4 linked regions of the Struthio camelus genome follow. The protein of the gene in region 1 interacts with the protein of each later gene in a pairwise test. Links are inferred from orthologs where the notes say so. Each region holds a gene or a part of one and is shown in the gene's direction. Other genes may lie near its edges. The genes, in order: ALAS1, POLDIP2, PPL and CDC73.

Evidence for each region.
Region 2: the proteins of ALAS1 (region 1) and POLDIP2 interact in binary tests that used the Homo sapiens proteins (3 or more experiments, as listed by UniProt). The two-hybrid records come from large-scale screens. The link is inferred for Struthio camelus from reciprocal best matches to the Homo sapiens genes ALAS1 and POLDIP2.
Region 3: the proteins of ALAS1 (region 1) and PPL interact in binary tests that used the Homo sapiens proteins (3 or more experiments, as listed by UniProt). The two-hybrid records come from large-scale screens. The link is inferred for Struthio camelus from reciprocal best matches to the Homo sapiens genes ALAS1 and PPL.
Region 4: the proteins of ALAS1 (region 1) and CDC73 interact in a two-hybrid assay, tested with the Homo sapiens proteins (3 studies listed by BioGRID and IntAct). The two-hybrid records come from large-scale screens. The link is inferred for Struthio camelus from reciprocal best matches to the Homo sapiens genes ALAS1 and CDC73.

What each region holds. Positions count from the first base shown.
Region 1 is NC_090955.1:22,844,024-22,850,968, forward strand, and holds the start of ALAS1 (5-aminolevulinate synthase, non-specific, mitochondrial), read left to right. Parts: upstream 1-3,942; 5' UTR 3,943-4,123; coding exon 4,124-4,313; intron 4,314-4,592; coding exon 4,593-4,805; intron 4,806-5,769; coding exon 5,770-5,925; intron 5,926-6,003; coding exon 6,004-6,226; intron 6,227-6,717; coding exon 6,718-6,902; intron 6,903-6,945.
Region 2 is NC_090957.1:16,405,114-16,413,037, reverse strand, and holds the start of POLDIP2 (polymerase delta-interacting protein 2), read left to right. Parts: upstream 1-4,921; coding exon 4,922-5,085; intron 5,086-6,413; coding exon 6,414-6,495; intron 6,496-7,189; coding exon 7,190-7,287; intron 7,288-7,924. Other genes in the region: homeobox protein SEBOX, read left to right, coding at 506-775, 904-1,149; TMEM199 (transmembrane protein 199), read right to left, coding at 2,928-3,023, 3,138-3,250, 3,637-3,679, 4,267-4,356, 4,435-4,508, 4,578-4,749. UniProt on the Homo sapiens protein: Involved in DNA damage tolerance by regulating translesion synthesis (TLS) of templates carrying DNA damage lesions such as 8oxoG and abasic sites.
Region 3 is NC_090956.1:17,375,232-17,382,835, forward strand, and holds the start of PPL (periplakin), read left to right. Parts: upstream 1-4,595; 5' UTR 4,596-4,675; coding exon 4,676-4,737; intron 4,738-7,604. UniProt on the Homo sapiens protein: Component of the cornified envelope of keratinocytes. May link the cornified envelope to desmosomes and intermediate filaments. May act as a localization signal in PKB/AKT-mediated signaling.
Region 4 is NC_090949.1:10,422,313-10,429,488, forward strand, and holds the start of CDC73 (parafibromin), read left to right. Parts: upstream 1-4,161; 5' UTR 4,162-4,260; coding exon 4,261-4,391; intron 4,392-7,176. Other genes in the region: GLRX2 (glutaredoxin 2), read right to left, coding at 934-1,003, 1,554-1,609.

The sequences.
Region 1 (6,945 bases):
ATGCAACATGGGAGGAATTTTCACTATGCTACTACTCTTACAACCCTTGAATTTTGCCTTAAAAGGTAAACAGCTCTCTAAGAACTGCTAGTCTCAGCACTGGAAGTGGAAATTCTTAGACCCAAGCCTGGAATTTGAGTCTGGATTAAATCCAGATGTCAGGATCACATCCACTCCTTTGGAAAACTCTGATCTCAATATAGGAAGAGATGGGGGGGGGGCGGCGAGGAGGACTGTTTTTCTGTCTTGCCCTTTTGTGACACTGAATGGGTGGGAAAAATGAGAAATGCGTGCAGCCTCTGATTTGGGAAGCGGGCAAGAGGGATTAAGCTTTGCTAATGGTACAGTTACACGTTTTCCTTTGGATAACCTGGGTGCAGAGGGGCTTTACTCTTGCTTTTCTCCTGAAGAATCTAAAGGCTTCTCTACAGATCAAAAAATCCAATTCAAATTCAAACAGAGGAACTAATTGCTGACAGATGTGAGACTGGATTAAAGTTACAAATTGCTGGTCAAGTTCTGTTTCTAGGAATATTAGGAAAACTTGTTAGAGAGGAGAGGGACAGAAGGGAATTATTTTCATGGCAATTCCCAGCTCAGCCTGTATAGTAAACCAATCACATAGAAAGAGACCATCTTTAGCAGCAACTTTTCATGGACATCTGCAGAAATCAACTTGACCTTGTGGCAGGGTTTTTTTTGTTTTTTTTTCCTTCCCTTTAGACTTCTATCTGGGAACCACTTTCTACTGCTTCTCATCCACCTCCCAGATTGCTGGAATTTAACCTTTTTTCTCCTCTTGCAACTCATTTAGCAAACAAATGGACAAATCATCAGAACAGAATGGGCTTTAGAAAACAAAAAAAAAAAAAAATCAGCAGAGACGCTCTGGGTAACTGAGCCCCTACCACTACATCCCATGAGCCTTTCAGGCAGATAGAGCTTCCCTTGCAAAAAGCCAGCTGGTATTCATAGTCTCAGTGGCTCTTACCAGAAGGCTGTTCCAAAACAGTTACAGCCAGGAACCACCCAAATTCCAACCTACACTTCTTCACGGCCAGCTGAGTAAGCGTTTGGTCTCACATCGAGGTCATCCCCGCAGCCTAAACCGTTTTTCCTTCTTTGGTACATGCTACTCCACCTTTTATGTATTCACAGGCAGCGAACCCGTTTCTCCCATGCCCACCAGTGGCCTCCTGACAGGCTGCGTATGCCTAGTTTTCCCTCTTGGGATGAGCTTCCTGTTCCCCGCTTGGCTACTACGGTACCATCCCATGCGTCTCTGTCTGAAATCCTCTTCCTGGAGTGCGGCAACCAGCTTTTGCATGGCACTCCAGCTAGTTTCTCCTGAGCCTTGGAGGATGAGGGTAATACAGCCCCACAATTAAAATCTTTAAATACCATTTAATTGATCCACTAAAGCCCTAAGAAACTTTAATTAACGATAGCTTTATTAGCATTTACTTCATCTTCACTACCTAAAACTCCCAAAGTGAGTGAACTGGCAGAGCAGTAGAGAAGACACCCTTTCCCCCTAATTTTACCACTATTTTTTCAGCACTTTATTGGACCTAGAGCTCACAACCATCTCTGTGCACTGACGGTGACATTCTCCTTTGGCAGCTCCCCAAGATAAGGGTCAAGTTTATGTCATTTCATTGCTATTTAGCTCTGCACAACTTCTGTCATGTACAAGGTTAAATAAATTCACCAGAAACAAGCTCGAAAACAGTGTTATGATGGGGTCTGATTAACACCACAGAGCCTAAGCAAGTTTGACAGGAGAGCTCAGGGTTCGGCACCGTTTGGAGATCTCACCATCTTAGCCAAGGTCACTTTGTCTCAGCTTCCAACCTTGAGTCATGTTTGGGTAACAAGCTGATGCTCTTCAGGCTCATTTACTGACCAGACTTGACATGGGCACTTCTAATTCTAAAAGCATAAGTTTCTGTATTCCAGCAACAGAGCAGGCTAACGCACTTCATCCCCCAACCTTGCAATATAATAAGATGCTGCTACTAAGATTAGGATAACGAAGCATTATCAGATTTCTGCGGGCTTGAACCTGCTGCGGCAGGTGTCCATACAGACAAGCTTTACAGTCTGTTGCGCTACTCGGCCAACGTACTTGTCAAACCCCTTTCTCTAGGGCGGGCTGTTGTTCATGAAGTATTCCTTCCGCCCCTCTTGAATTAAGTAGCATGGTCACAGAATACAAGAAGAAGGGGAGAAGGAAAGATGCCATCAACACACTATAAATCAGGCATACAGGACTCAGTTTCTGGTGTTAAAACTGAAATTAATCCAAAGAACACCGCAATGATCCCTTAGGTTCAGGAACCTAACTCTGCTCTGATGATATTCACCAGATATCTGCACAGCAGAATTTAGTAGTCTGTTTCCTCATTTTTAAAAATAACTGATGTGGGCAACAGCTTGAGGGTAGAGAGTCAGATGTTCGATGTGGGAAGGGAGAGCAGTCATCCAAACACACATCAGGCATCTTTAAACTTTTTTTTAATAGCTTATTCACTATTATGTTTTGCAAAACATAAGTACTTGCCGCGTGTAGCACTAACTGAAAGCCAGCTATGAAGAACGAGCTCTCTTCGTGAACAAACTCAGCTAAGAACTTGAAGCACCGTCCTGGTATTGCCAAGCGCCCAAGACTGTTGTTATCGCAACCGCTGTACGGGCTTGGATCGAATACCGTACCCTCAGCTTAATCATTTATTTACAGAACAAAATAAAACTGGCACACATGCAGTTTAATGATATCCACTTAAAAAAAAAAAGCTGTGTACGTTAATGGTAACTTCTGCACTATGTTGCTGAAATAACGAGTCGAATTGTTTAAGCTTTGAATATTAAGACTCACAAGTCAACGCCGTGCTAAATTTCTAATAAGCAAGCAAACTGTGCTTAAAACACTCTCTAGCCCTATTAAAACCCAAATATCCCATGCCTCTACCGTGTAAAGCCCCATTTGACTGTTATTAGGGCTCCACGAGGAACAAGCGAGGCCAGAACGCTGTCCGGTTCCCTAAGCGGGAGCTGAACGGCACGCGGAAGCTGACAGCGACTCTGCTGTTTAACGGGGGGTTTGAAAAGCTCGACCTCCTCGGGGTCTGCTTATCCAGGCCGCCAACTTCACGTGCTGCCACCAGCATCTTCAAACGCGGTGACAGAGGCGGGATCAGGCAATTACGGATTAATTCGTAACGTGTAAACATTGACCGATACCTTCCTAGCGCCTTGCGCAGCCAAACTCAGGAGCTCAGCAGCCACAGGTCTAGACAGGCTCTGCTCTTCCCCAGCCGCGACCGTACGAGTGCCTCCCAGCACCTCGACCGCTCGGTGAGACGCGAGGTGTCAGTCGAGAGGGAACTTTCGAAAGAGCGCTCCTCCTAAACCCCACACTTGTTACTCAATAAAAAAAGTACAGCTATCTTATAAACCAGCCAAAAGGTGGCTTTTGCCTGGGGGAAGGGGTGGGGTGAGGATGAGCGAGGCGGTACTCTGCGCGAGCCCGAAATCAGTGTTTTACAAGAAGAGGAAGAAAAAAACCCGTCACCTTCCCTCCCCTGGCCCTTTCGGCGCTCGGGGGGTAGCGGCAGCTCGCAGAGCGCTGCCGACGCTTGGTGCCGCCGGGCTGGCTACGAGGAGAGCCCCGGCTAGCACGAAAACAACCCCACGGAACACCACGAAAATAAAAACCACCCTCCCTCCCAAGCGGACGAGCAGAGAGGCGCTAACGCCTGTCGCGGGCCAGGGGCCGCAGGGTTCAGCGCTACTCCCCGCCGCCCGTCTCACGAGAACGCTGTTCCCTTCGCCGGGCGCCGGGCACCGGCACCGCCCTCGGGCACGGCGCCAGCCCCAGCCCCGCCGCCCTCCGACCCTTCTGGAAAAGGCGCGCGGCCCCGCCCCGCCCCGCGCCACACCAGGCCGGGGGCGGGCGGCCGGCCGCGCCCCGCCCCTCCCGCGCCTGCGCCCATGGGGGCGGCGGTGGCAGCCGCAACGCGCATGCGCCCTGCTCGCCCGGCCTATATAGGGAGCGGCGGCACTCGCAGCGGCGAGGCGGGTGCCTGTCACGACAGGGCGGTGAGGCGGCGACAGCGACACGATGGAGGCGGTGGTGCGGCGCTGCCCGTTCCTGGCCCGGGTGCCGCAGGCCTTCCTGCAGAAGGCCGGGCCCTCGCTGCTGCTCTACGCCCAGCACTGCCCGCGCATGATGGAGGCGGCGCCGGCCCGCGCCCTCGGCAGCTCGGCCGGGTGCCGGCAGCGCGCTGAGGAGACCCCGGCCGCCCGCCGCGGTGAGTGCGGGGGGGGGGGGGGGCGCTGAGCTCCCCGCCCCGGGGTGGGGGGGGGGGGAAGGACGCGTTTCCCCCTTCCTGCGCCGCGGTGCCGGACGAGCGGCTGAATCAGGCGCTGGAATTTCCTCCTTCCGCGAAATAAGACGCAAACGCTCGGTTAAGCGGCCCCGGTCGGCTCCTGCCAAGTCCGGCGCTAAGGGCTTAGGTAGAAAAGCTCCAGTAACCGCGCCGAAACGATGAAACTGAAGCCTCTCTCCCCTCCCCTTCCTCCCACCTCAGAGGCCAAAAGTGCCAAAGACGCCGCTGAGCAGAGCGCCGAGGGATGCCGGCCGCCCGCCGGCCACCCGCCGCCTGCTGCCGCCGGCCCCCCGAGCTCTGCTACCAAGTGCCCCTTCCTGGCAGCTCAGATGAATCACGGGAACAGTAATGTCTTCTGCAAAGCCAGCCTAGAACTCCAGGAGGATGTGCAGGAAATGCAGCCCGAGAGGAAAGGTAGGTATTTTGGGCTCTGAAGCGTTTGCCTTTGGTGCCTGACTCCACTCTAGCACATGCCAGGTCTTAACTGACACCACTTAAATTGTGTCAGTAGGACCATGGGAGATGACAAGCTGTTGTAGCAGACACTGGGTGTTAATGGTGTATCAGCTGTATTCTGCAATGATTGCCCAGGGTGATTCTGATGTGGGAATAGCACCCTGCTTTTAGGGCTGTGAACCAAGCTGTAGCACTTGTACCCAAAGTAGATGTTTAGGACTCAAGTGAGCTTTACCAAAGTGCTGGTATAGACAAGGTGGTATATCCAGAGAAGAAGGAAGTCAGGACAGGGTACTATGTAAATAGCAGCACAAATCCAAGCTGGCAAGCAAGCAAGCAACCTTTTTCATTTGTTTGACATGACAGAAGGGTGTTGGCTGGCTTGGTGCAGAAGGGCTGTCCTTCAAAGCAGCAAGCTTCTGACAAAGTTTTGTCGAAAGATGCTTTTCAGCCATATCAGTAAAACTTTTGCCTTTCTCAGAAAGGAAGCTTGTTTTACTTCTCTGGTTTTCTCTGTGGCTTGGGGGAAAACTCTACCAACTGAACAAAATGCTGGGAGTTAAACAGAAGCTGCTAACCAGAACTCCTGACTTCAGTTAGCTATGTACCAGCTCTTTCAGATGGGAGCTGCACCCTTATAGAGTAGGTTTGCTAGTCAAGATAAGCCAAGTGTGGTGCAAGGACATTGCATTGTCTTGTCATTGATTAGCAAACTAGTTTTTCCCCTGTTGTCTCATACAGGGCAAAGTTATAAGCCAATAAGAGCCGATGCCAACAGGATGCCCCATGGATTCAACTGCAGGCCCTTAAAGAACAAAGGGTTAGAGTAACTTAAAATATCTGCCTTGCTGAACTCATAACTTACCTTTTCATTTTGTTTCAAAAGGATTAAGCTCACTGCAATTCTTTGCCATGTCTGTAGGTACAGAATTTGCCAAAACACCAGCTAACTCCACAGTGAGGAGCCCTCAAACTGAGGGAACAGAGCAGAGTGGCTTGCTCAAGAAGTTTCAGGATATTGTGCTCAAGCAAAGACCAGAAAGTGTCTCTCATCTGCTTCAGGATAACTTGCCAAAATGTAAGCTTAGCTGGCAAAACCCCTGTAGCCTGTCTGCTTGTGATTAACTCCTATGTACTTAAGTCTGTCTTATTTCAGCTGTGGCCACCTTCCAGTATGATCAGTTCTTTGAGAAGAAGATAGATGAAAAGAAGAAGGATCATACTTATCGAATATTCAAAACAGTAAACAGAAAGGCACAAATCTTTCCCATGGCAGATGACTATTCTGATTCTCTTATCACCAAAAAGGAGGTGTCTGTGTGGTGCAGCAATGATTACCTGGGGATGAGCCGTCACCCTCGTGTGTGTGGAGCAGTTGTGTGAGTAGTACTGTGCTCTTAAGATGCAGTTACAAGCTACGGTGGTCTATAGAAGCTTTTATAGAAAGTCCTCCCTGGAATTTATACTTCTACTGTACTTCATAACTACTTTGGCATTACTCTTTCATATAATGAAGCCTTAAAGCTTATACTTCTCTTAAGCCTTGATAGGTGGTGGTTTTCCCCCCCTTCCTCCAGGGCTGCAACATAACCTGTCAGTCGCTGACCCTGCTCCTTGAGCTTCCTCAGCAGCCCCCAAATATTAGCAGATAAACTGGATTGTATATTGCAGCTGTACTTGATACCTTATTCATTAGCCTATTGAATCCCTGAGGTGTGCAAGTTGCTCAAAGACCTTAAAATAACAGCTGCTTTTCACAGCCAGCTCTTTTTAGAACGATAGAGATTGTGTAGAATGTTTTCAGCAATAATCCTATATTCATCTTTGTGTTGCTCAGTAACACTAATGCCTCTCTTTGGGCACTCTGTAGGGATACACTGAAACAACATGGTGCTGGAGCAGGAGGCACAAGAAATATTTCAGGAACAAGTAAATTTCATGTTGATTTGGAAAAAGAACTAGCTGATCTTCATGGAAAAGATGCAGCTCTATTGTTCTCATCTTGCTTTGTAGCCAATGACTCCACCCTCTTCACTCTAGCTAAAATGCTGCCAGGTGAGACCTCAAACTGCATCCCATGTTTACCACAAAGACACAG
Region 2 (7,924 bases), on another chromosome or scaffold:
CTTGCAGGGCCCCTGCCCCGCCGGTGCCAGGCTTTGCCCTGACCCCCCTCCCGGGCTCCTGGAGCCCCACCGGCCCCAGTGCTGCAGGGCCACCTCGGGGCTCCGATGGGGCACTGTGGTGCTGAGACCCGGGGACAGCGATGGGTGGGGACGGACCCCGGAGCTTTGGGGGGACCGGTGGGAGGGAAGCAGCTCCCCGATGGGGAGCCATTGGGGTGACCAGTACTGGGAGCCGGTGGGGTTACTGGTTCCAGGAGCCGTCGGGGAGGGGGGGGGGGACTGGCCCCGGGAGGCATCGGGCGGTGCTGCACGGGGAGCGCTGACCCCGGGGATCGGCCCCGGGAGCCGCCGGGGGGCTGGGGGGGGGTCGGATCCCGCCGCCGCGGGTGCGGGGGGCCCCGGCCAGCGCCGCCTGCTCGGGGCGGTCCCAGCCCGTCGGGGGGAGGCGCCGGGGAGGGGGGGAATAAAAGCCGGGGCGGCGGCGGGGCTGGGGGAGTAGGGCAGGATGAGCGCGGCCCCGGGTGCCTGCCGCGTCCCCCGGCCGCTGCTCCGCTTCCCCGACGGGGCGGGCGGGCCGGGCGGCGGCAGCGGGCGGGCGGCGGGGAGCGGCGGCCCCGGGCCCGGCCCGGGGGGGCCCCGGAAGCGGCGGCGGACCACGTTCAGCCGGGGGCAGCTGTCGGAGCTGGAGCGGGCCTTCGCCGCCGTGCCCTACCCGGACATCGCCACCCGGGAGCGCCTGGCCGAGCTCACCCAGCTGCCCGAGGCCAAGATCCAGGTGAGCGGGGCCGGGGGACCCCTCCCTCCCTCCCTCCGTCCGTCCCGGGCCGCCGGGACCCGCCTCCGTCCCGGGCCGCCCCGTCGGGCCGGTGCCGGGGTCTCACGGCCGCCCCCCGCCCGGCCCAGGTCTGGTTCCAGAACCGCCGCGCCCGCCGGATCCGCAGCGCCAAACCGGAGCCGCCGCCGCCGCCGCTGCCGCCGCCCGGGGAGAGGGGTCCGGCCGCGGCGCCCCCCGACGGCACCGCGCCAGCCCCGGCCCCCGTGCTGCCGGAGCCGGGAGCCCAGGGCCCCGCCTGGGGCCTCCCCACCTCGCTGGGCTCCATCTCCGACCTCATCTACAGCGCGGCCATCACCAACCTGGGCGAGCCGTAGCCCGAGCAGGGCCCCCCCCGGGCCCCCGGCCCTGCCCGGCTTAGCGCCGCGATTGTCATTAGGACGTGGAATTACTGCCGGCTCCTTCAGGTCCCTGCGATGCCATCCAATATCCTAAATGCCGGTGAGGCTGTGGCGGGGCCGGCTCCCCATCAGCCCCCTAATACCAACTAATCTTTCAGAAAAATACCTTAATCTGAGGCAGTATCCGCGGATGATTGTGGCGCAGCCGCCCCTAATCCGCAGGCACGTTCGCAGGTGCTGGGCCGATCTCCCCGTATCGGATATTAAAGCATGTTTGCAGAGGGGTTTAGCTGCCATCAGAACATTAATCACTGTGTCCAGCTCTGGCACGTTGCCTGCTCAGCAGGTGTCCTAGCCCACAGTGCCCAGGGTGGGCAGTGCCACTGGCCCCTCTCCCCACTGCAGGGCCACTAGTGCACTGAGCTGGTTCAACTCTCTGCTCCAAGGCACCCAGGAAGCTCTGCACTGAGCCACTCTTCCCGCTAGGTTTAAGTGATTGCTGGTGGCAGGGACAGCCTTGGAACGGAGCTGCACCTTGCAGTCAGGTCTGGGGCCTTGCTTTGACCCATCTGGGACCCCTGAATGCTCTGGCAAAGCCCTTGGGGTCCCTCGGCCTCTGAGTTGAGGGACAAACCCCAGCTTCCGCTTGCTGGCAGGGAGAGACCAGCTGGGGCCTATGTGGGCGAGGAGGGTTTTCCCGAGCCAGCTCAGCACAGAGCAGGTACTCGGCCCCCCATGGGACACCGGTGCTGGATGGCAACAGAAAAGGGCGAGCACTTCTCCATGGCAGCCCAAGTTTCTGCCCCAGTCCCGTGGCTGAGGGGAAGCAGCTTGCCAGCGCAGGGAAGGCAAGCTGCCGGCTCTGCTGGCGGGCGCCCTGCCGCACTCCACGGTGCTGCTCTGGCAGGCTGCTATGACGGGGGCTCCTCCTCCGGGACCCAACTTTCTTTTTGGCACTGACAGTCACAGGACCATGGATCAAGAGAGGCGGCAGCTCCCAGCGCGACTTCTCCCTGAACAGGAACACAGTGTAAGCTACACAAAGGGTACGTCTGTCTGCTGAGCCGCTGGAGACGAGGCTGAAACCCCAATGCGCCTGCAGTGCTGCTGCATTAGACACTGTTGTTCTCCTGAACAGGTCTGCGCGGAGGGGAAGTGTACTTGCCACCAAATATGAGATGGGTCATGTAACTGCCATGCTGGTCACAAGTGAGTAACGCTCTCCCTAAAGCGGGCAAGGGGCCAGGTAGGAGCAGTAAGAACAGGCCACCTGAGGGCATTGATTTCTGCTGGAGATGGAACAGGATAAAGAGGGAGAAAGATTCACAGCTCTCTGTGGTGTCTTTTAGATGCCAGGCCAGTGGGCTGCATAGCAACAGAACTCTTCTGTCAGGCAGGAAGAAGATTGCAAACATAAACACAACATATTTATTCCAAAAAAAAAAAAGACAGCAACTTCAGAAAAGAACTGTAACAGCAGTCGCTGACACTCCTCTCTATACTGGCATAGTATGAGTCCACTGCTGTTGGTTCTTCTGTTCTGCTGCCACAAGATCTTTAATCCATGATTCATTTCAGGAAGGTGAGGAGCAGGCAAGCAAAGGATGAGGCCTGAGGAATGCAGCAGTTTTCCTGGTAACAGGAGCAGGTACAAACATTTGGTAGCCCAAAGACAAACCTGCCCAAAATAAATGGCTCCTGGGGAGGGCAAAAGCCTCCAGCATGAGGGTCGCAGTTCGCAGGGAAACGCACAGTCATAGTTTCCCGAGGTCCCCTTCGAGGGTCCGCACCATCACATACAACTCGGCCAAGCCAACCACTGAGGCCACAATTACTGCTGACAGGATGCGCTGGGGACACAAAGAGAGAGAGTTAAGTGACCCCACGCATGTGCTCAGGCTGCTGCCTGGTGCCAGGGAGTGCGTCTGCTGCTCCGGTCTGGCCTCTACGACACGCTCACTCACCGCAGCCGTCTCGGCAAAGATGTACTGGCTGCCCAGGTACGTGCAGGCAAACGCGGCTGCCACGGTGACAATGAAGTTGAATATGGTGATGACCACAGCTTTAACAGATCGAACTGGAGAGAAGGGGGAAAGATGGTGATTTTTAGGAAAGGCTAGAAGCTGCTTGTTAAGTAGCCTCAGAGAGAAGAGTTTGGGACAAGCTATAATCCTGCTAACTGAATCTGCCAGTGGCTGCCTCAGTTTGGCTACAAGAATACTCCTGAATTCACATGCTTTATGCCTCCCGAAATACCAGTAAGAACTACACGTGGGCTGCTCCTTTACTCAAGGAATGCTTTCGTGCATTAAAGCCATCCAGTGAGATACTGCAGCTTGGAGCAGGGACGGCTGTTGTATGTCAACAACATACACACAACTAGTGATGTGACAGTTCCCAAGACTGATTTTTCTGCCTGTAGGTACACACTGCCTGGTGTCAGCAGGAGAGGCAGTCACTCACCTTGCCTCCCAAAGTCGGCCAATGTCCCGTACCGGTTCAGCTCCTAAAATAAAGGATTAAAACAACTTGTGTTGTATTATATTTTAATAACAGAAGTGATTCCGATATAATATCCTGTCTGAACAACTCATTCAGAAACATAGCCGGCTTCTGTGGGGCTCTAGCAGTGGTGAGACATGCTGTAGCTGAGAAGCGGTTTCATAAAGCCTGGGTTTCCTCTGGATTTGTGCTTGTGGTCAGTCTGTGACACTGAAAAGGGATGATTTCTAATCCCTGCTCACATCCCCCCTCTATTTTATTCATTCTACTGGGAAAATTTCCTTTACTGTCTGTCACATTGCCACCTGTTATGCTTTTAAGGAATGATTCCTGAACGGATACCAGAGGATGCCCACATACACACGGCATAACTCCAGGAGCCTCAGATAATTAGAACTTAAAGTAGAGATCAAAAGGTCATCCAGCCTCTCCTGTCCTTCAAGTCAGCTTCAGCTGGTTTGGGGATAACACTGATTTGGCAGCCTGGGTGGGTTCATGTGGTTTTTTTAATAGATGGGTTTTTGCAGCCTGCCTTTTGGGGGTGGCAGAGCAGCTGGGGAGCGCATCCCGAGTGCCAGCCGCAGCACTCACCTGGCCGGTGACATTGCGGGTCATCCGCCGGTACTCCTCGTTGGCCAGCCGGGCCTTGATGCGCTCCAGCCGGGCCACCAGCTCGGGGTTCTGGGGGAGGAGAGAGCTGCCGTGAGGGTCGGAGCTGGGGCTGGGGCTGCCGCCGGGCCCGCTCCGGCCCTCACCTACCCGCGGCGGCACCGGCACCTCGGGCAGGGCGATCTCGCTGCCTTCCAGGAGCTCGTGGAGATACAGCGGGGACCCTGCGGGAGGCGGCGGCGGTTAACGGGGGCCGGGGCCGGCCGCGGCCTAGCCCGGCCCCCCGGCCCTACCTGCCTCCCGCAGCGCCCCGTGCAGCCGCCGCAGCAGGCTGAAGGGCACGAGGGCGCCGTCGGAGCCCAGCGCCGCCTCCAGCTCGGCCCGCAGGCCGGCGGGGAGCCCATCCAGCTCGCCGTCCGCCGCCGCCCGCCTCAGCCGCGGCCCGGCCCGCACCGACGACGCCATCTTGGCCGGCCGCCGTCGCCTAGGGGACACGGAGCACCACAGAGCGCGGCTCCGCCAGATGGCTAGAGCGGCGCAGCGCGCTCCGCGAGGGCCGCCGGGAAGCAGGCGGCGGGGGTGGGGGCGCGCGCGCGGTGCATTGTGGGCTGTCGGCGGGGTGGGCCCGGCCGGCGGGATGTCGGGCTGCGCGGCGCGGCGGTACGTGGCGGCGGCGCTGAGCCGGTGCCGGGCCCGCGGGCTGCCGCTCTGGGAGCCCCCCCCGGCCCGCGGGCCGCGGGCCCTCGGCGCGGGGGGCGCCGCGGCCGTCCAGCTCCTGCCGCGGCGGCACCTCTCGTCGCGGTGAGGCCTGTGGGGGCGGCGGGGGGGTGTGGCGCTGCTGGGCTGTTTGGGGCGGGGTGGGGGGCACTTAGGGGGCGACGGGGGAAAGGTGTGTGGGGCTGTCAGGGGTGTTTGGGGTGGGGTGGGGGGCACTTAGGGGGCGACAGGGGGAAAGGTGTGTGGGGCTGTCAGGGGTGTTTGGGTGGGGTGGGGGGCACTTAGGGGGCGACAGGGGAAGGGTGTGTGGGGCTGTCAGGGATGTTTGGGGTGGGGTGGGGGGCACTTAGGGGGCGACAGGGGAAGGGTGTGTGGGGCTGTCAGGGGTGTGTGGGGTGGGGTGGGGGGCACTTAGGGGGCGACGGTGGAAAGGTGTGTGGGGCTGTCAGGGGTGTTTGGGTGGGGTGGGGGGCACTTAGGGGGCGACAGGGGAAGGGTGTGTGGGGCTGTCAGGGATGTTTGGGGTGGGGTGGGGGGCACTTAGGGGGCGACAGGGGAAGGGTGTGTGGGGCTGTCAGGGGTGTGTGGGGTGGGGTGGGGGGCACTTAGGGGGCGACGGTGGAAAGGTGTGTGGGGCTGTCAGGGATGTTTGGGGTGGGGTGGGGGGCACTTAGGGGGCGACGGGGGAAGGGTGTGTGGGGCTGTCAGGGATGTTTGGGGTGGGGTGGGGGGCACTTAGGGGGCGACGGGGGAAGGGTATGTGGGGTGGGGGGCACTTAGGGGGCAATGGTGGAAGGGTGTGTGGGGGGCTGTCAGGTATGTGGGGTGGGGGGCACTTATGGAGCAACGGTGGAAGGGTGTGTGGGGGGCTGTCGGGTATGTGGGGTAGGGGGCACTTATGGGGCAACGGGGGAAGGGTGTGTGTGGGGCTGTCAGGGGTGTTTGGGGCAGGGTGGGGGGCACTTACGGGGCGATGAGGGAAGGGTGTGTTTGGGGCAGGGTTATTTGGGACAGGGTGGGGGGCAGGGGGCTGTCAAGGACAACTTGGGGTAGGCAGACTGGGGGGGCTGTTGAGGGACTGAGATAGGTATGTGGGAAAGGGGAGATTGGGGGGAAGGGGTAGCTGGGCAGGGGGTGTAGGGGGATGTTGAGGGCAACTGGGGTAGGGGGGATTGGCAAAGGGGTCATTGGGGGTGTGTGGAGGGCCCGGAAGCGGGTGGCTGGGCAGCCTCATGGGTGCAGGCTGGGGCTGTCATGGGGCTGAGGGAGGTACAGGGTGGGGGCTGTACCCAGCCAGCAGCGGGGACTCAGGGTGCTTTGTGCCACGCGCAGCTCTCCTGGCCCCAGGGGACAGGCTCAGCATCAGCTGGGCAGCTGCGTGCACACCCAGCAAACCCACTCTCTCCTCCTAGAAACCGTCCGGAGGGCAAAGTGCTGGAGACAGTGGGGGTGTTTGAAGCACCAAAGCAACACGGCAAATATGAGACAGGCCAGGTAAGCAGTCTTGGGGAGCAGAGCTGACCCTGCAGGCTTTTTCCACAGAGGTTGAATAGCTGCGTGATTTATCTGCGAGAAGGCTGCTGCATAGTAGCAGAAGTCCAGGAGTTTCACAGTTCAACGTTCCTTGTCTCTGCTGTGTCTGCAGTTTGTCAGTCATCTGACAGTAGGAAATTGATAAGAATCTGCAACATGACACAACTGTTCATACAATGGTATTTGCTCTGCTGATTTTATTTAAGCATAGTTTCCCTTTGGCAGCAAAGGAGTCAATTGCTGAATTTGGGAAATGAAGGTAAACTTGTAATTTCTATGCTCATGACTCGTATATCTGTTTCTCCCTTTCTGGGTGGTCTCTACTATCCTGGTCTCCTTTTCTGCACTTCTGATGTCCAATATGTTATAACTGGTTTAGTCAATCACTTTAATGGGATAGAGATGACGTGAATTTGTTCTTCCATCCCAAGCTGCTTATGTTCCGGCTTTGTCTCTGCTCAATGGCTATACAATGGTGATTCTCCCTTTATCCCTTTCGTACGTGTCCAGGCTCCATGTAAACATTGCTAGTTCTACCTCTATAAAATTCTTTTTAGATATTGTCAGAAAAGAGCTTTTGGTTCCATGTTTTCTATTGTATCTAAGTCGACGGAAGCTTGCTATGTATTAAAGTGCAATTATTTGTTCTTTTCAGCTGTTTCTTCACAGTGTGTTTGGCTATCGAGGAATAGTCCTGTTTCCCTGGCAAGCCAGGCTTTACGATCGAGATGTTGCTTCTCCTGTCACAGAAAAGTGAGGTTTTGTTCTTGTTTGTATGCAGCATACTACTGTATTTACGTTTCTTTGCGAGTTTCTTGGTTAGGGAAAACAAGTCTTTTTAAGAAAGACAATGGTACAAGTCTGTTTTACACGAACATCAGTTGGAAGAGAGGTACTCAAACGAGCGATTGCATGAATATTAATTTTCTTTTAATCAAGAGACAGGATGGAAGCATGAAGAAAGAGTGTGTGTGTCTAGAAAATGAAAACCAAGCCTCCCCACATTTTTTTTTTTTTCAGTAAAACAAAACTTTGTGCTGTCCTGAGGTAGGACTAGGCTCCTGTGTTAAAATTGCAAGCTGCTTCCTGTATAGATTGCCAGTGAGTTGCATTTGTCAGCTGCCTCCCCATTTTCAACCTGCTAGGCTAAGTTTATCCATCTGATGGATTGAGTCCCTGTTTGTTTACTTCCTTCACTTCTCTCATCCGTTCCTCTCTCTAGCCCTTGTTGGAGGTATGCCAGGCGAGTGTATGTTTGGACTTGGAAAAGACTGAGCAGTGAGCAGATAGAGAATGAGCGAGCAGTGAAAACAGCTATGCCAGATAGGATACTGGGCTGACCAGGGGAGATCTTCCAAGTCATCTGAAAACAGAGCTGTTGTGCCAGTGA
Region 3 (7,604 bases), on another chromosome or scaffold:
CGCTGGCGCGCTGCTGCCTGCCTGCAAGGACTGCGCTCTGCAAAAGGCGCTGGCTGGCTGCTTGGCTGCGCCCACGGGAGAGGGGCCGCAGAGGCGCCCGCGGGACCCCCGAGCCCCGGCGGGACGCGGCGCTCGCCGCCCCGGGCCATCGCTGGCAGGGCGTTTCTGCTTCCTGAAGCCCAAGAAACATTAGGGGATTTTTAAATTCTTCTGTGTTTTTAATTGCATCAAAACCCCAGTGAGCACAGAGGCCCGAAACCTTTCCGGAGCTTTTGCACAGCTTCTCCGTTTCGCCGTATCCCAGATTTGACATCAGCTCTCATTTCTCTCCTCGCCAGTATTGCCTCTTCCGAATTGGCAGACACCCGGGAGCTGGCGGCAACCGGACACGGGGCCCTGTGCCGGCCTCGCCGCGTCCCGGCCGCGGCGCCCATGGAGAAGTGCCTCTTTTGGAGGGACTCGGGGCAAGGTGCCGGAAGCAGCCATGATTCCTGCCCGAGTACAAGGGACAGCAAAGCTCGGGACGCCCCTCAAAATCATTTTAAGCCTGATTTTAGGCTCTGGTTTGGCTAGTGCAGGAGGGCAGCAGCACGGCAGCGCTCGTCACAGCTCCGAAATCGGGTGGGATTAAAGCTCTTGCCCAAAGAGCAGCCGGCGAGCTGGGCTCACACGGTGCCTTAGCCCAAAGGCAGGATAGAGGCAAAATGCCCGGGCGGTTTGCACCGGACAGGCTTCCACCCCGACGGGGTTTCTCGCTGCCTGCCGGGCTTCCCCGAGCCGTTTCGGCTCGGCGGCTCTCAAGGGCACTCGCGCGCGCAAATGAACCGCGCCGGAGATGAGGGGAGATTAGGGGGATTAGCGCCGCAGAGGTCACGCCGGAGGGGAATAAAAGAGGAAAAGATGCACACAAAAAAAAAAGAAGAAGAAGCGATAGACAGGGACATTTCCTCGGTACGTCAGCGCTCTGTTCACCTTCCGGGCTGGCTCAGGAGCTCTGCGGAGCGGGACGAGGAGCTGCCTTTTCCCGGCAGGCCGGCCGGTCCGGGGCGACGCGCTGCCACGACGTACCGGGGGGTATCAAAGTGCCAAAACCTGAGAGTGTTTTCTAGAGCAAATAAAGCTAGGCAAAATATCATCTGGTTAAATGGAAGGACGCGGAGCATGACTTCTGCCTGCTCCTCCCCCTCGGCTTGGGCCACAAGCCAACGCACGCTGCCCTGGGCAGGCAAGACACTGCTCCTGGGGGACGGTATTGCCCCGGCCACAGTGCAAGAGGGCACCCGGCTCTGCCGGCGGGGAAACAGGGCGCCGCCGGCAGCCAGGCTCTCCTGGGGCTCTTGCCTGCAGAGACCCCACACCACTCATCACAGCGACTGCCAGCAGGGCTCCACAGAGGCCCTGGGCGGCCAGGCCTCGGGGCCGTGCATGGGCAGGGTGCCCTGCTGGCGCCGCCAGCCAGAGCCCCCGAGCCGCCGCGCCGCTCAGCACGGCCCCGCCGCCTCCTCGCCCAGCGGAAAAAACCGGCCCTCCGCCGGGGCGCGCTTAGCGTGCCAGCCAGAACGGCGTTCGCCGTTTGACCTAGCAACGGAGACGCAGGCTCGGGCATCTGGGAGAGCGCTAAATATATCTCTGCTTCTCAGAGACTTTAAGACGCAGGGTTGGAAGAGGCTATGAAAACGCAGCGCGTTAGTCGTCCGGAGGGTAGTAATACATTCGCCCTTCTCCGCGCGCTAGCGCTGCGGCCGGCGGCAGGGGTGCAAGCCGGCGAGGAGCGAGCGTTTCGGAGGTTCGCTGCGCGGGCCCAGCCGGACGCCCTGCTCTGCTCGGCCCGGCGTCCTCGCTCCAGGCTGGTGCCAGCCCGCTGCCCGCCGGCTCCCGCCGGCTCCTCTGCCTCCGGGATCAGTTTTCCCCTGCGCGGCTCGGGCGGTCGGGGCCGATCCGGCCCTGCTCGTCCCACGCCTGCCGGTGCGGCTCTCCCCGAGGTCGGGGAGCGACGGGGACACGCATCCCCCTCCGCTGCTGCCGCCGCAGCCTGCTGCCTAATGAAGAGGGTCTCTCGCTAGTGGGGGCTAGTAGGCCCCACGCTGGCAGGCAGCGCGGAGCAGGATGGATGCCGCGGAGCGGACCTGAGTCAGCCACGAGCACGTGGGAACGGCATCGGCGCCCGGCAGAGGCGAGCAAAGCCGGGCCGGCGCTCGGGAGGCGGCAGGGGCAGGCGGGAGCCAGGGGCGGAGGGCTCCTCTCCCCCAGCAGCCCGGCGGCCGGCTCTCTTTCGGGCAGGTCTCGCTCCCTTGCAGGGGGGTGACTTCTCCGCTGGAGCCCGCAGGGACCCTCCAAAGCGCCAGGCTGCGGCGATGCAGCCGCACAAGGCGCCTTTTGGGGGCCGCAGGCTGCACGCAGCCCCCTCCCTCCTGGCTCCCGGGTCCTGCCTCGCCGCCGCCGCCACCGGCTGGGGCTCACAGCCAAGCTGATTTCCAGCGATTAATCAATAGGAGAGCCAAAGGGCAACGCCACGCCAGCGCTCTCCAGAGAAAGCACAGGGCTCTCTTAAAAGCTTTGGAGCCTCAAACAAATCAACTGCCATCACCTTCGAAGCGCAGAACACGTCACTCGGTAACCAAGCATCCTTTGCCCCGCTAGAGTCGGTCATTACAGCACCGTCCCCGCCGCCGTCCTCCAGCGAGGACCGCGCCAGGCCAGGGGGCGGCTCCGCTCTGGCTGGGAAAGGGCTGGCGGAGCCGGAGAGAGCGGCCGGAGGTGCCACCGACCGTCCCGCGAGCCCCTGCTCTGGCTGCCGAGGGCCCCGGTCCGCCGAGCTGCCGCAGCCACGGCCCTGCGAGGGGCTCGGTGCCGCCGCCAGGCAGCGCGGCTCTGCGAAGCAGCCCTCGCCGGCGAAGGCGGCGTTGCTCGAATCAGAGCATTTTGCAGAAATTGCCTCAGATGTGGGAGAACTGCGAAAACTCAGGAGGTTCTCGGATGCTGCCTCTAAAAAGCAGCCAGGATTACATGGATTGCGCACCTCGCTTCTTCGCCCAAGGTTACAGCCCAAGGAGCGGAGGTGGAAGAAGTCCACGCGCGCGCGCGCACACACACACACACACACTTGCACATACTTGCCGCGTGCTCGAAGCGCTAGGACCTGCTGCCCCCCAGCATCGTGCGGACGCAGCTGGATCCGTGCAGGAACGGTTCTCCGCGCAGCGACAGCGAGCGCAGGGCTCGGGGCTCTGCACGCCGCGTGGAGCAAATGCTGCCGAAAGAGGTGGCAATCCGACCCAAGCCGGGGATCAGGAGCAATAGGTCACAGCCTGCACTGACTTGCCCCGAGAATGAAAATCAGCAGAGGATTTGGGGCTGGTGAGGTAGCGACAATCATGTATTCAGTTGTTTAATCCCAGATGGGCACAAAATCCCTGGATAAAAAGGCCAGAGCTGCTCCTAATTGCTCAGTGCTGTGCACACGGGGATGGGTGAGCAAAACCTCTTAGGCTGCGGCAGGCGGGAGGGAGCCAGCTCTCTCCCTTCCCCACTGCCCGTCTGTGCCCTGAGGACCGGCCCCGAAGCCGGGAAGGGCTCCGGGTTGGGGGAGCAACCTCCTGGCAGTTTTGCGATAGGATTTGGAAGAGTCGCTTCCCAGCGGACTGTTTTCTGCGGCTGGAAGGCCAAAGCCAGGCTGCCTTGGGCCCCTGTGCGAGAGCCGGCGGGAGCCGCTGAGCGGATGCAGCCCGAGCCCCTGCTGCAGCGCAGCCGGGGGTGGCACAGCCCTGGCGTGGCGCCCGCCGCACAGGGTGCTGGCGGCTGCTGGAGCTGGGCTGCCGGCCGGGGCAAAGGGACACACGCCAGCCCTGACCGGGGCACCGGACAGCCTGGGGCCCTCTCCGAGCTCGTCGGCCAAGCTGCCGCCCCAAGTCCGCTCTGGTCCCTCCCGAGACCAGGACATAGGCAGAGGCGCTGGGGCAAAACCGCGCAGTGCGGAGAGGCCGGCAGAGGAGCAGGCGAGCCCTGCAGCCCCGCTGCCTGGCAGCCAGCTCTCCTTGCCGCCGCAGCCCTCGGCCCCCTCGGCACAGGAACCAGGAGCAGGGCCCGTCTGCCCCGAGCAGGCACCCGGCACTGCGCGGGAGCACCCCGGAGGGGAGAGCACCCCGAACGCACCCCTGGCCCACAGCAGGACTGCCTGGGCAGGGCTGATTCCCAAGGATTTGGTGACTCTCGGAGCACTTCTCTTTGGGGAATCTGCCCTGCCTTTCCAGCGGTGATTTTTTTTTTACAGCTAGTCCAACACTGCCCTTTCCTGAATCTTTAAGCCTGTGCTCTTCCGGGGAGCCGGGACAACTTCGACACGTCTCTACCCCGATCGGAAGAGCCGAGGAAAAAAAAAAAGGGAAATATCTGGCTCTGACAAAACTGCCCGCCAAGTCGGCGAGCCCCGAAGCCGGGCCGCCCCGCAGGAGGAAGGGGCTGGAGGCGGCGCGGCGGTGCCGGGGGGGCCGCGCCCGCGCCGCTGGCACCTGCCGCGGCCGCGCAGGCACCACCCCGGGGCCGGGCCAGCGGCAGCCGCAGCCCCGTCCCCGCCTCCCCCGGCCCGGCCCGGCCCGGCCCGGCCCGGCCCGGCCCCGCCGGCTCCCGGCGCAGAGAGGCTCCCGGCGGCAGCGGGGGGAAGGAGCCGGCCGCCGCGATGCACTCGCTCTTCAGGAAGCGCAACAAAGGGAAGTACAGCCCCTCGGTGCAGAAGAAGAGGTGAGTGAGCGCCCGCCGCCCCGTCGGGGGCCGCCCGGAGCGCGGCGCAGCGCTCGGCCCCGCCGCGCACCGCTCCGCACCGCTCCGCACCGCCGCCGCGCACCGCGCTCGGCGGGGTCCCCGAGAGCGGCAGGGCTGCCGAGCCGCTGCCGTGCCCTCCTCGGCGGAGGCCAGAGTCGGTCTTCGAGCCTTCGCAGCTTCAGCGCTCGTTGCCTTGAGCTTTGGTTTCGTTAGAACCGAATAGTCAGTGTTTCCTCTTCTCTCGACGCCCTTTCTGTTGGGGTGGAAATGGATTTTAAGTTGTGCTGGTGCAAGAACACGCGCGGGGTTACACATACCCCTTGCAAGAATGCTGTTAAAATGGAAAAGATGTAAAAGTTCCCAATAGAAAAGGCACGGCCTCTCTCCAGGCTGAATGATTCATTGTAGGAGAGAAGGAAACTGGAGGGCGGCCAGTCCCCAACCCCTGGGTGCATGTCAGGGACAGAGGGGTCATTTTTGCAACAGAAGTTGAATGTTCTGATCAATTCGGGAGGAAGTCTAGCATTTCTGGAAAGGCCTGGAGAGGCTCTGGAGTGTATACACTCCGGGAGCCACTAGTGAGTAATGCGAGGAAGGGAAGGAGCCCTCCTGCCTCCGTCTCTCCAGGTGTGGATGTGAGCCGGTGGCTTTGTACTGCTGCGCAAACGGCTCTCCGGCCGTTCGGCATTTCCTCTTTCCCTGCTGCGCTTCTGGCAGCGCTGCCCGTCTGCCGCTGGGATGGGGGTGACGGGGAGACACCTGCCCCAGCCTGCGGGCTGGGCGCTGCAGCGCTGCGCTGCGCTCCCCAAAAATCGTCCTTTGGGAAGGGAAACTCAAGAACGGGCGCGGGGGCTGAGGCTGCGTTCAGGGACCCAGGAAGGGGGCCCCGGGCGGCCCAGAGGGTGCTGACCCCTTCCGAGGCGGGGAGCTCAGACAGCCGAGGTGCGCAGGTCTGCCTTCAGCAGCTCCCGGAGCTGCCTCTCACCCCACCTGGGAATTAATCCGCTCAGTTCTGGGCTTTTTTGGCTCGACTATCCTGTAGTCGCAGTGCTGGCGGCGAGACGTCAGGGAGCTGTCCTGACTCAGCGGAGGGCAGTGGGGGAGCTGGGGAAAGTGCCGCGCTGCTTCCTCCCTGCAGGCAAAACTAGGGCTGCCTGCAGGTCCCATGCTGTCGCTTTTGGCATGGGGGTCCCCTGAAAGGGGGAGACCCTGAGCGTGGGGGGACTCAGGTCGGTCTTGGCACCTGCTGAGCTCCCTCTCTCAGTACTGAGGACCAAAGAGCTCCGGCTCCGGAAGCGGGGATGGGATCCCCAGGCAGCCTCTGCAGCCCGACCGGCTCAGCAGGGCCGTCGAAACAGCCGCTTGCACCCCCTCCCCAAGCCCCGCGGCACGCTCTGGCGCCGGCTCCCACCCCAGCAAGGGCTGGTGGAGGGAGAGGAGTTTGTGCCATCTGAGGCACAAGCACGCGCCTCCCCGAAGGCCCCGTCACCAGCGTCGAGGGCTGAAGGAGCGATTGCAGCCTCAAACGAAGATGTGAAAACCAGGTTCTGTTTCTAATCTCCACTGGTGTCGGAGTAGGGCTTGAACACAAGAAATGCCACACCTGGCTTGACATCTCAGGACTCTGAGCAGCACCCGGAGCCCGGGAGGCAGCAGGAGACGGGCCTTCGTGCACGGGCACCTGGGGCTCGGGAAGATGGCCTTCCCTCCAGCGCCCTGCCAGCAAGCCCAGCACGCTCGGGGCACCGCCTCAGAGGGACGTCAACGCACCTCTGACGGCCGCAGACCTGTAGGCCAGGATGAAATCTTATTCTTTGTGGCTGGATTGTGCAGGCTCAGGAAGCGACGCGCGATGTGGCCTCGGGCCACCCTCCCTCCCCGCAGCACGGAGAGCCGTGTCTGTGCCTCCAAGTGTGTCCACGCACACCTAGGGCAGGGCTGCGCTTATTACGCCCAATTTGTTAATTCCTGTGCTGGAGTTTACAAACATCTGCGAATGCAGGGAACGCTCCCGCTCTGTGGAGACGTCCCTGCAGTCGAGAGGGGGAAGCCAGAGCCAGACCGGTTAAACGACTTGCTGGAGAAGCCGGGGGCAGATTGCGAGTTGAGGAGCTCCTGCCGCCCCGTCCCGCGCTCAAGGCGCTGCTGGAGTCGGAGCCAGCTCCCGCCCAGTTATGCTGCTACAAAGACAGAGCAACCCTGCTAAAATCAACAGCCCCGTGCTGTAAACAGGAACAGAGGCTTGGACACAGCGGCCAGCCCAGCCTCAGCCGGCTCTTCGGAGAGGCTTTTTCAGCTGGGGAAAGGTAGGTTGTAGGGTTGCGTGTTAGCTCAGGGCTGAGTGCCAGGGTGCCCCTGGTGACTGAGCGTTCAAAGCATAGTAGTGACAGAGCACATAACTGAGCACCGGTTTGGCAAGCGATCAATCACGCTGGAACATTTCCTGCAGGTAATAAGGAGCCAGGCCTGTGATCTCAGCTGATTCAGTTAGGGGTTGCCTAGGAAGTACCTTCCTAGGGCAGTTAGCGCTCTGACACGGACGACTGTACGACTCGATCTCGGTGGCTCCTTCAGTCGGCAGCCGTGGGACAAATTCCTGTTGCAGCGCGGGCATCTTGCCGTCTGTGCTCGGGCAGCTGCCATGATGATTAGCGCCAGAGATCAGAGCAGGGCTGTCAGGATCTGAAGATGAATCTCTGCAGCTCAAGCCAGGCTCTGTAATCTGCCCAGGAACAACGTTCTCCGTCCTTCTGGCTCCGAATGCAGACAGCCACCAGTCACCAACCCAAAACTAGCCCTTAAGGCTCCAAACCAAAGCACCTTGAAGTTTATGGGCTTCAAGCAAC
Region 4 (7,176 bases), on another chromosome or scaffold:
CACATCAAAATAAAAATCACTTCCCACCTGTCTGCCAAGAAAGTCAGACTCTCGACCTCAGCAGTGGAGCTGCACTTGGCCCGAGGCCCAAGAGTAGCTGCTCCAATGGAATGCAAGTGCAGTGAGGCACAACATCAAACATTTGCAGAACTACATAGAAAATAAAGTGACCAACTCCTCCTGCTCCTTAAGGCCTCAGTAAAAAGCACAATCTGTTCTTCAAGGCTAGCTCAATGATCAGAACTGTCTCAACTGCAAGCAGAATACCTGGAGTCAGTTAAAACTTAGCAGTATCCAAGTTTCAGGAATCCTGTAGTTTTTCCTCTTACAGGAGCAAAGAAACAGAGGAGAGTTAGCATTAACAATCTCTGACTAACAATCAACTGACTTCAGAGTGAGCAGAAGTATTGTGGGGACTGTGCCCTACCCTAAACCTACTCTTGCTCTCTGATCACAGACTTCTTACAGACTGTAGAGGGTGTATCTCCTTGAAGTATTAGTACAGCTTTTCCTATCTGTAAGGCAAACGGAACGTGCTAGTGATAAGCAGACTGGCAAAAAAAGGTATGAGTAGGAGGAAAGAGAGACTCCTATTTACTGCATGTTTATCCAAGATTTATCCATTTTGCGCTCTCAGTATCAGTTCATACTTGAAATCAGTAATTTTACAAGGTTGAATCCCTGATACTGATGACAGTACTGAATTTAACTAGAACACTGGAAAAACATAAAAAAGATCCAACCTAGGAAGATCAGATTCCAGGGCTGGGGATAAAAAAAAATGCAGCTAGTATTTACTAATAAACATACAGATCCAATTCAGTATGCAGAACTATTTACAGCATATCTTTGTATAATATAAGAAAAAACCTGAAAGTAACTATCACTTTTGCAAACATTGAAAAGGAAGAGAAGTCTCGTAAATAACGTTACCTGTATTTGATTCACAGCAGCATCATTAGATAACCTTACAGAAGCAGGCAGCCTATTTCCCATTCTAAGACTAAAAAGAAAGAAAAAAGTCAGATACTTAAGCTTTCAAATAAACGACATATTACTACACTTCACAAACTCTTTTAAGGATTGGTTTCACTCAACCCATACAAGGGTTGGTTCCGTTTAAAATACCTAACAGGATCTCTCCCTTGCACATAAATTCTTTCAGCTGCAATGCCGGCAGTCTCCTTTGCTCTCACACGCCTGCAGTACGGTCCAAATAAAGAGCCCGATTTTGCAGAGTTTAACCCAAACGGCTGTCTTTACAAGAGGCTGATTTTCTATATATATGTATATACATATACATACACATATACACATGTAATTTTTCTCCCTAATGACAACGTGTAAATACAAGCACCAACATAAGGCTCTGGGCACCCTCCTACAGGGGCTGCCCCTAGGGCCGTACGCCCCGAGGCCACCGCGATGTCCCCTCCCCGGTCCCAGCCGGCCCGGCCCGACCCGACCCGACCCGGCCCTCCCCTCGAGAAGAAGCCCCAGGCCCCGAGAAGGCCCCCGCGCGGGCGGGGAGCCGCCAGCCCCACCACACCGACCCGCGCCACCGCCACAGCACCGCCGCCGCCCCGCGCAGCGCCCTCTGCAGGGCCATGGCGCCCGGGAGGAAGGGGCGGGGCTTCCCCACAGTCCTCACCGCGGTCCGGCGCGCCTTAGGCCCCCGCCCCTCCTGCCGCCGGGGCGCGGGGCTGTCCGCGGCGCTGCCGGTGCCCGGGAGCGCCCGCCGCCCGGCCGGTGGAGGGGGGAGGAGGGGAGGCGTGCGCTCGCTGCGCAGGCGCAGGCGCAGGCGCAGGCGCAGGCGTTAGCGGGCGGCGCGGCCGTTGCCAGGGGGACGCGGCGCAGGCTGCGGCGCCTCAGGCCGGGAAGCTGCTGAGGCGGCCGTGGGGGGGAGAGGAGGGCCGGCGCGGGGGGACAGGCGTACTTTCGAGAGCAGCGGGGAGAGGGATGTGGCGGCAGGGAAGGGAAGGGGGAGAAGTGCCGGTCCTGAGGGACGCGGCTCCGAGAGACTTCTCGGAGGGAAAAGAGGCGCCGGGGCCTGAGGCGCTTTGTCGTAGCCAAGGCAGGGTGAAGGCGAGGAAGGCGGCTCCCTCAGTTCTGTTTAGGGCATGATAGTTGCACACTGTTCTTGAGGGGAGAAATGCTCTGGAATTGTGGTGTAGGCTTTCACACCAGGTTAATTAAGCTTTGAAACGTTCCCGTGAGAGGGATAGTGTTTAGTGAAGCTGCGGAGAGGTTGAGTGATTTTCCTGAAGGCCCAGAAGTAACTTTTACCACACGGAATGAAGTGAGAGCCTTGTCTGCTTTTCTTTGTGGCTAACAGTGCTAGGAATTTGGGGGTGCCTTTGCTATATCAACTAAAACTCCCTTCAAATCTTCACTGTTAGCATTTCTGTTCCCTTTTTTCTTGTAATACTTTTTCTACTCTGCAGCTATTTAATACACATGAATATATCATTATATACTTTTTGTATGCACTGTAAAAATGCCTCTGTCAACATACATGCCTTTATTGGCGCTCACAAATAAGAAACTGAAAAACAGGACAATTTATTCAGAAGAGATTGAGAAGAGAAGTAGGTCTAGAAAAGCTGGAAACTTTTAATTGTTCCAAGGCTTTGAATAGAGGTTTTCTAGCCTTATCTCCTCTTATGAAACCAGTAAGTCCTCAAGTATCTAATGCCATGTGAAAATAGTTGTTTATTTGACATCTCTTATCAGTTCCTGTTTCAGTGATACAGTGGTCAACAGTCCCATTATGATCTCCAAAGCAAACTGTGGGAATTTATTTTGCTAATTCCCCTTTAAGTTTGCATTGAAGGTATCCTTAAATGAAAGAAATGAAACAGAATGACAACATTTTCCTGAAACATGAAAATAAATTTCAGACACTCTTGGCAATTGATTATGTACAGCGTCGCTGCAGTGTACTGAACAACAGATGACAGCATGGCTGAAATTGATGTTTTCAGCGTTGCTGTACCATAACAACTTTGTGTCTTGATAAATAAAGTATTACATGTCTAGAAAGTGCATCAGGTGCATTTTTTCTGAGCTAACACAGTTTTAGGTGATGCTATGGGCGTTTTTGGATAAGACATAGAAAAGGATTTTGGACCATTTGAAAACATTTCAAATTCCATTATATTTTTTCATAACTAGTAGCTCTGGTAGTCATTCTGAATCCCATGTGAGAAACTATATTGTTTATTCTTCAGGCTTTTTTGTCTCCTAAATAAACGAATACTATGCTATACCAGTTACAATTGAACATTAGAAGTAATGGTAATTGTATCAATTAACTCTAATGCTCACTTTTTGACTAGTGTAGCATAAAGTTCATTTTGTGACTAGAAAATATATTTGTGTGTTAAATTATTTTGATACAATACGTGAATTGTTATAAAATACTTGCACTATATTCACTTGTACTGTGCTGCTGTGACAAGAACGGTGGTATCACTAACATCTCAGCACAGGAAATTATATAAAACGTCGACTTTTAGTCTATTTTGACAATCCTAATGCATGCTACTTACAAGAAGAAGAATGATGCAAGTTAGCTTTTTTCATATGTAATATCGGATAACATTTTCTGCTAATATTGAAAAGCGTTCAGAAAATTCTGAGCATCAAAGATTAGAATAAGCATGCGAGAGATCTTTCTTCAGGCCTGTATTTCCAGTGCTGGTATTCCGGAGGGTTTGCCAGGTATCTATTTTGCAGGCTCTCCCGAGGAGACGGCAGAAAGCCCCTTCTCGCCTTTCCTGAACCGGTCGCTCTGCTGTCGGAGCCGCAGGGACCTAACGTCACTACGACGAGCAGCCGGGTGGCGGGAAGGGGGGCCGCACAGCGGCTGCTGCGCCACGGCAGCTCACCTGGCTGAAGCACCTCGCACCGAACCGGCTGCTCCCCAACTTCTGTTTTCAGTCCGACCGTCACTGCTGCCGCCCGCACCGGCCTGAACGGCACACGGCCGACACGGCTGACCGCTGGAAACAACCCCTCCACGGGCGCTCAGCCCCCTGAGGGCCGCCCCGCCCCGCCCCGCTCCCGTAAGGGCGGGCCGGCTGGCCCAGGGCGCCCCCTGGAGGCGGTGGCGGCGGCGCTCAGGCGTTCGCCGCGGCCAGCCCGGGCCCTGGCGGCTGGCGGCGGGGTCCTCGCGCGGCTGGCAGTGGGGCCGGGCCGCGGCGGAGCAGCAGCAGGAGCAGCGGCGGCGGCCGGCGGCGGCGGCGGCGCGGGGCGAAGATGGCGGACGTGCTGAGCGTGCTGCGGCAGTACAACACGCAGAAGAAGGAGATTGTGGTGAAGGGCGACGAGGTGATCTTCGGCGAGTTCTCCTGGCCCAAGAACGTCAAGACCAACTATGTCATCTGGGGGTGAGCGCCGGGGCGGCCCGGCCGTCGCCGGGAGGGGCCGGGCCGGGCCGGGCCGGCGGGGAGGAGAAGTTGCCCGAAGTTGGAGGAGCCGGGAGCGGCGCGGGGGGGTGGCGGCCTCGCTGCGGCCTCCCGGCAGGGCCCCGCGGCCCTGCCCGCCCCGCCGGGGGTCTCCGGGCTCGCTCCCTTCGCGGAGGGGTGCGTGGGGCCGCCCGGGAGCCCGCTCTGGCCGGGCGGTCTCGCCGCTGCCTTGGGCAAGGTGCCCGGGGCCCTGCTTGGCGACCTGCGAACCGACGCCCCCCGGGCACGGTGGGGGCCTGTCCCTGGCTCTCCCGCTGTCCCTGCGGCCCGGCGGGGCTGGAAGGTCCCAGCGGTGCCGGGACTTGCAGGCTCTCCTGAGGAGATGAGAGAAAGCTGCTTCTGGAAGTTTGTTTTCTTTTTGTTGGGTTGCTGAAGGTTATGTCTTTACCCCACTAGCTTCACTGGCTGGTTTCTCTTTTCACGAGGCTTGTCGCGTAAAGCCAGCGAGGGCTAAAGCACTCCTCCCTCTGCGGCCACCTGGGAGCTCTGTCAAACCGTGCGGGCGCTTTGTGCTCCTCGCTCAGCCTGCTTCTAGCAGAGGCCTTTTCCTGGGCTTGTCCTAATGCAGTCTGCTTCCTAGCTGTTCTTACTATAATAAACAAATGCTTCTCTTGTTTCAGTGGTAGAATTAGATAAAAGTCTTATTTTTTTAAAGTATTTAAGATTAGTTTTTTTACTTGTTGAGTTTTAGAGTTTCCTATGTATTGTTTACAATGCAAGAGAGTTCTCTTCTTCATTCTCCTTTCCCCTGTATTTAGAAGCCACCAAAGCTTTCTAACTAGAAGGATTTCAGTGAGTCTGTTCTAAACCGAAAGGAAAAGTAATGCCTTTCATTAAATATTACATCTGTTAAAGAGATTACATTATCCTGTGAAGCTTAGAAAAACAGAAGAAGATGTAGATTTTTCAAAACACTCGCAGTTCAGTCTGCGGCCTGGGATTTTTTTTTTTTTCTAAGCTTTCATAATTATGCTAAGACTCTTAGTATTGATTTAATATCCTGAATTTTATTGGGTGGGGAAGAAACCTACCCGTTTGTGTTAATTTTCTAGAAAAATTTTTGCATTTATTTTACTGATTTTATATTGCATGCAGTTTAAAACTATAAATGTGCAGTTTTATTACCTATTTCAAGTTTTCAGAAACTCATTTGAGATATATTTGCGCATCCTGGCTGAGTGAGGGGTGCTGGTATCTAGACTGAAGAGGAAGAAAAGTCTTTGCATAAGTAGATAGGTTTTAAAATTCTTGAAAAGTCTTAAATCTATTTTGTTAAGCAAGTATATTGACAGCTATCATATTTTCTTGCTTGAAGTTTTTCTGCTAAGCAGTAACAAGTAACAGCTAGCTAGACAGGCAAGTTTTGTTGGTACCCTGTAAAAAACAGAGAAACCGATATGCCAACTGAATTTTGCTGCCACCTATGAGAGTTTGAATTAGGCCTGGGCCCAATTAGGCCCGGAATCTTTAACAGAGGACAGAAGACAAAACCTGGAGGGGAAAAAAAAATCTTAATGTTTACCATGAATGTAAAACTGCCTTGAGGAGGGTTTGTGGGTGAGAGGAGAATGCACTGAGGAGAATGGAAGCAGTAGCATTATAATAGTTGTCTATGCCATCATCTGTAGTGATAGATCCATTATAGATTTGTTTTGGATTAAGTTAGCAAATCTTGGCCTAGGCCAGTAGCTTCTGAGCTTTCATGTAGGATCGTTACCAATTTTGTAGGATTGTTACCAATTTGCAGCACTTCTTGTGAACCACCATGCAACTATATCTGTCTAATCTTTAAATTGAAGACATTGCAAAAGTGAGACCAGTTCTGTAAGCCGCGCTCAGTAGCTTTGGGACCGCAGTTTAGGTGCCATTAATTTATGTAATTGCCATGCTTGTGCAGGAACATAGGAGGAACACCTTTAAAAAGCTTTTAAGATTCAAAACCTTTTCTATGCTGGTCACTCGACAGGATCTGAACTATGCTTGCAGTGAGCACTTGTTAACAGCTTCAGCTTTCGTGAAGCAAGGATGATTTCAGTCTTAGGTGTCTACAACATGGTTGCTGTATTTGCATCTCTACTAACAGCCTGGAGAGAGTAATCCAAGTCTGAATAGCAGTGGAGGCATTCTGTCCCTTCTGGAATTAGAAGTAGTTCCCCTAGATATTTAACACTGTTGCTCCTTGAGCAGTGAGGCTGGCAGAAGCCTGCACGGCTGCCAGAAGAGCTGTATTGCCCTGCACGGTCTTCTCACTGTGCTAGCACAAGTGTCAGCCACACAGTGAATCGGTCTGAGGAACTGAGCCAGGTTAAAATTAACCTAGAAAAAGAACCCAAAAATTTATTTTAATCCAGGTTAGTTCCTAGATTTAGTTCACAAAAAATAATTTTATGAACTCCTTTGCTGGTACAAGGAGAAGGCTAGACGGACCAAGATTAGATGTTTTCTTTGTTTTGATCTAGTGGTTGATCTGTAGCCGCTGAAGAAGGATTGTTTGTTTAGTTTTAAAACCAAAGAAAGAAAATCGGTCCAGCAAAGAAACTTACTTGCTTTGTTTACACAGTAGAGGGGTTTGTATGCGTAGAAGTTTTTAAATAGTAAGCAGCTGGTCATGGCTGTTGTAATTTGTATGATAGTCTGCATGTCTAGTCTTGTATTTTTGAAGATTACTGTTTCCCTTCATGGATGAGAGGTAGGCCTTTAGTACCAA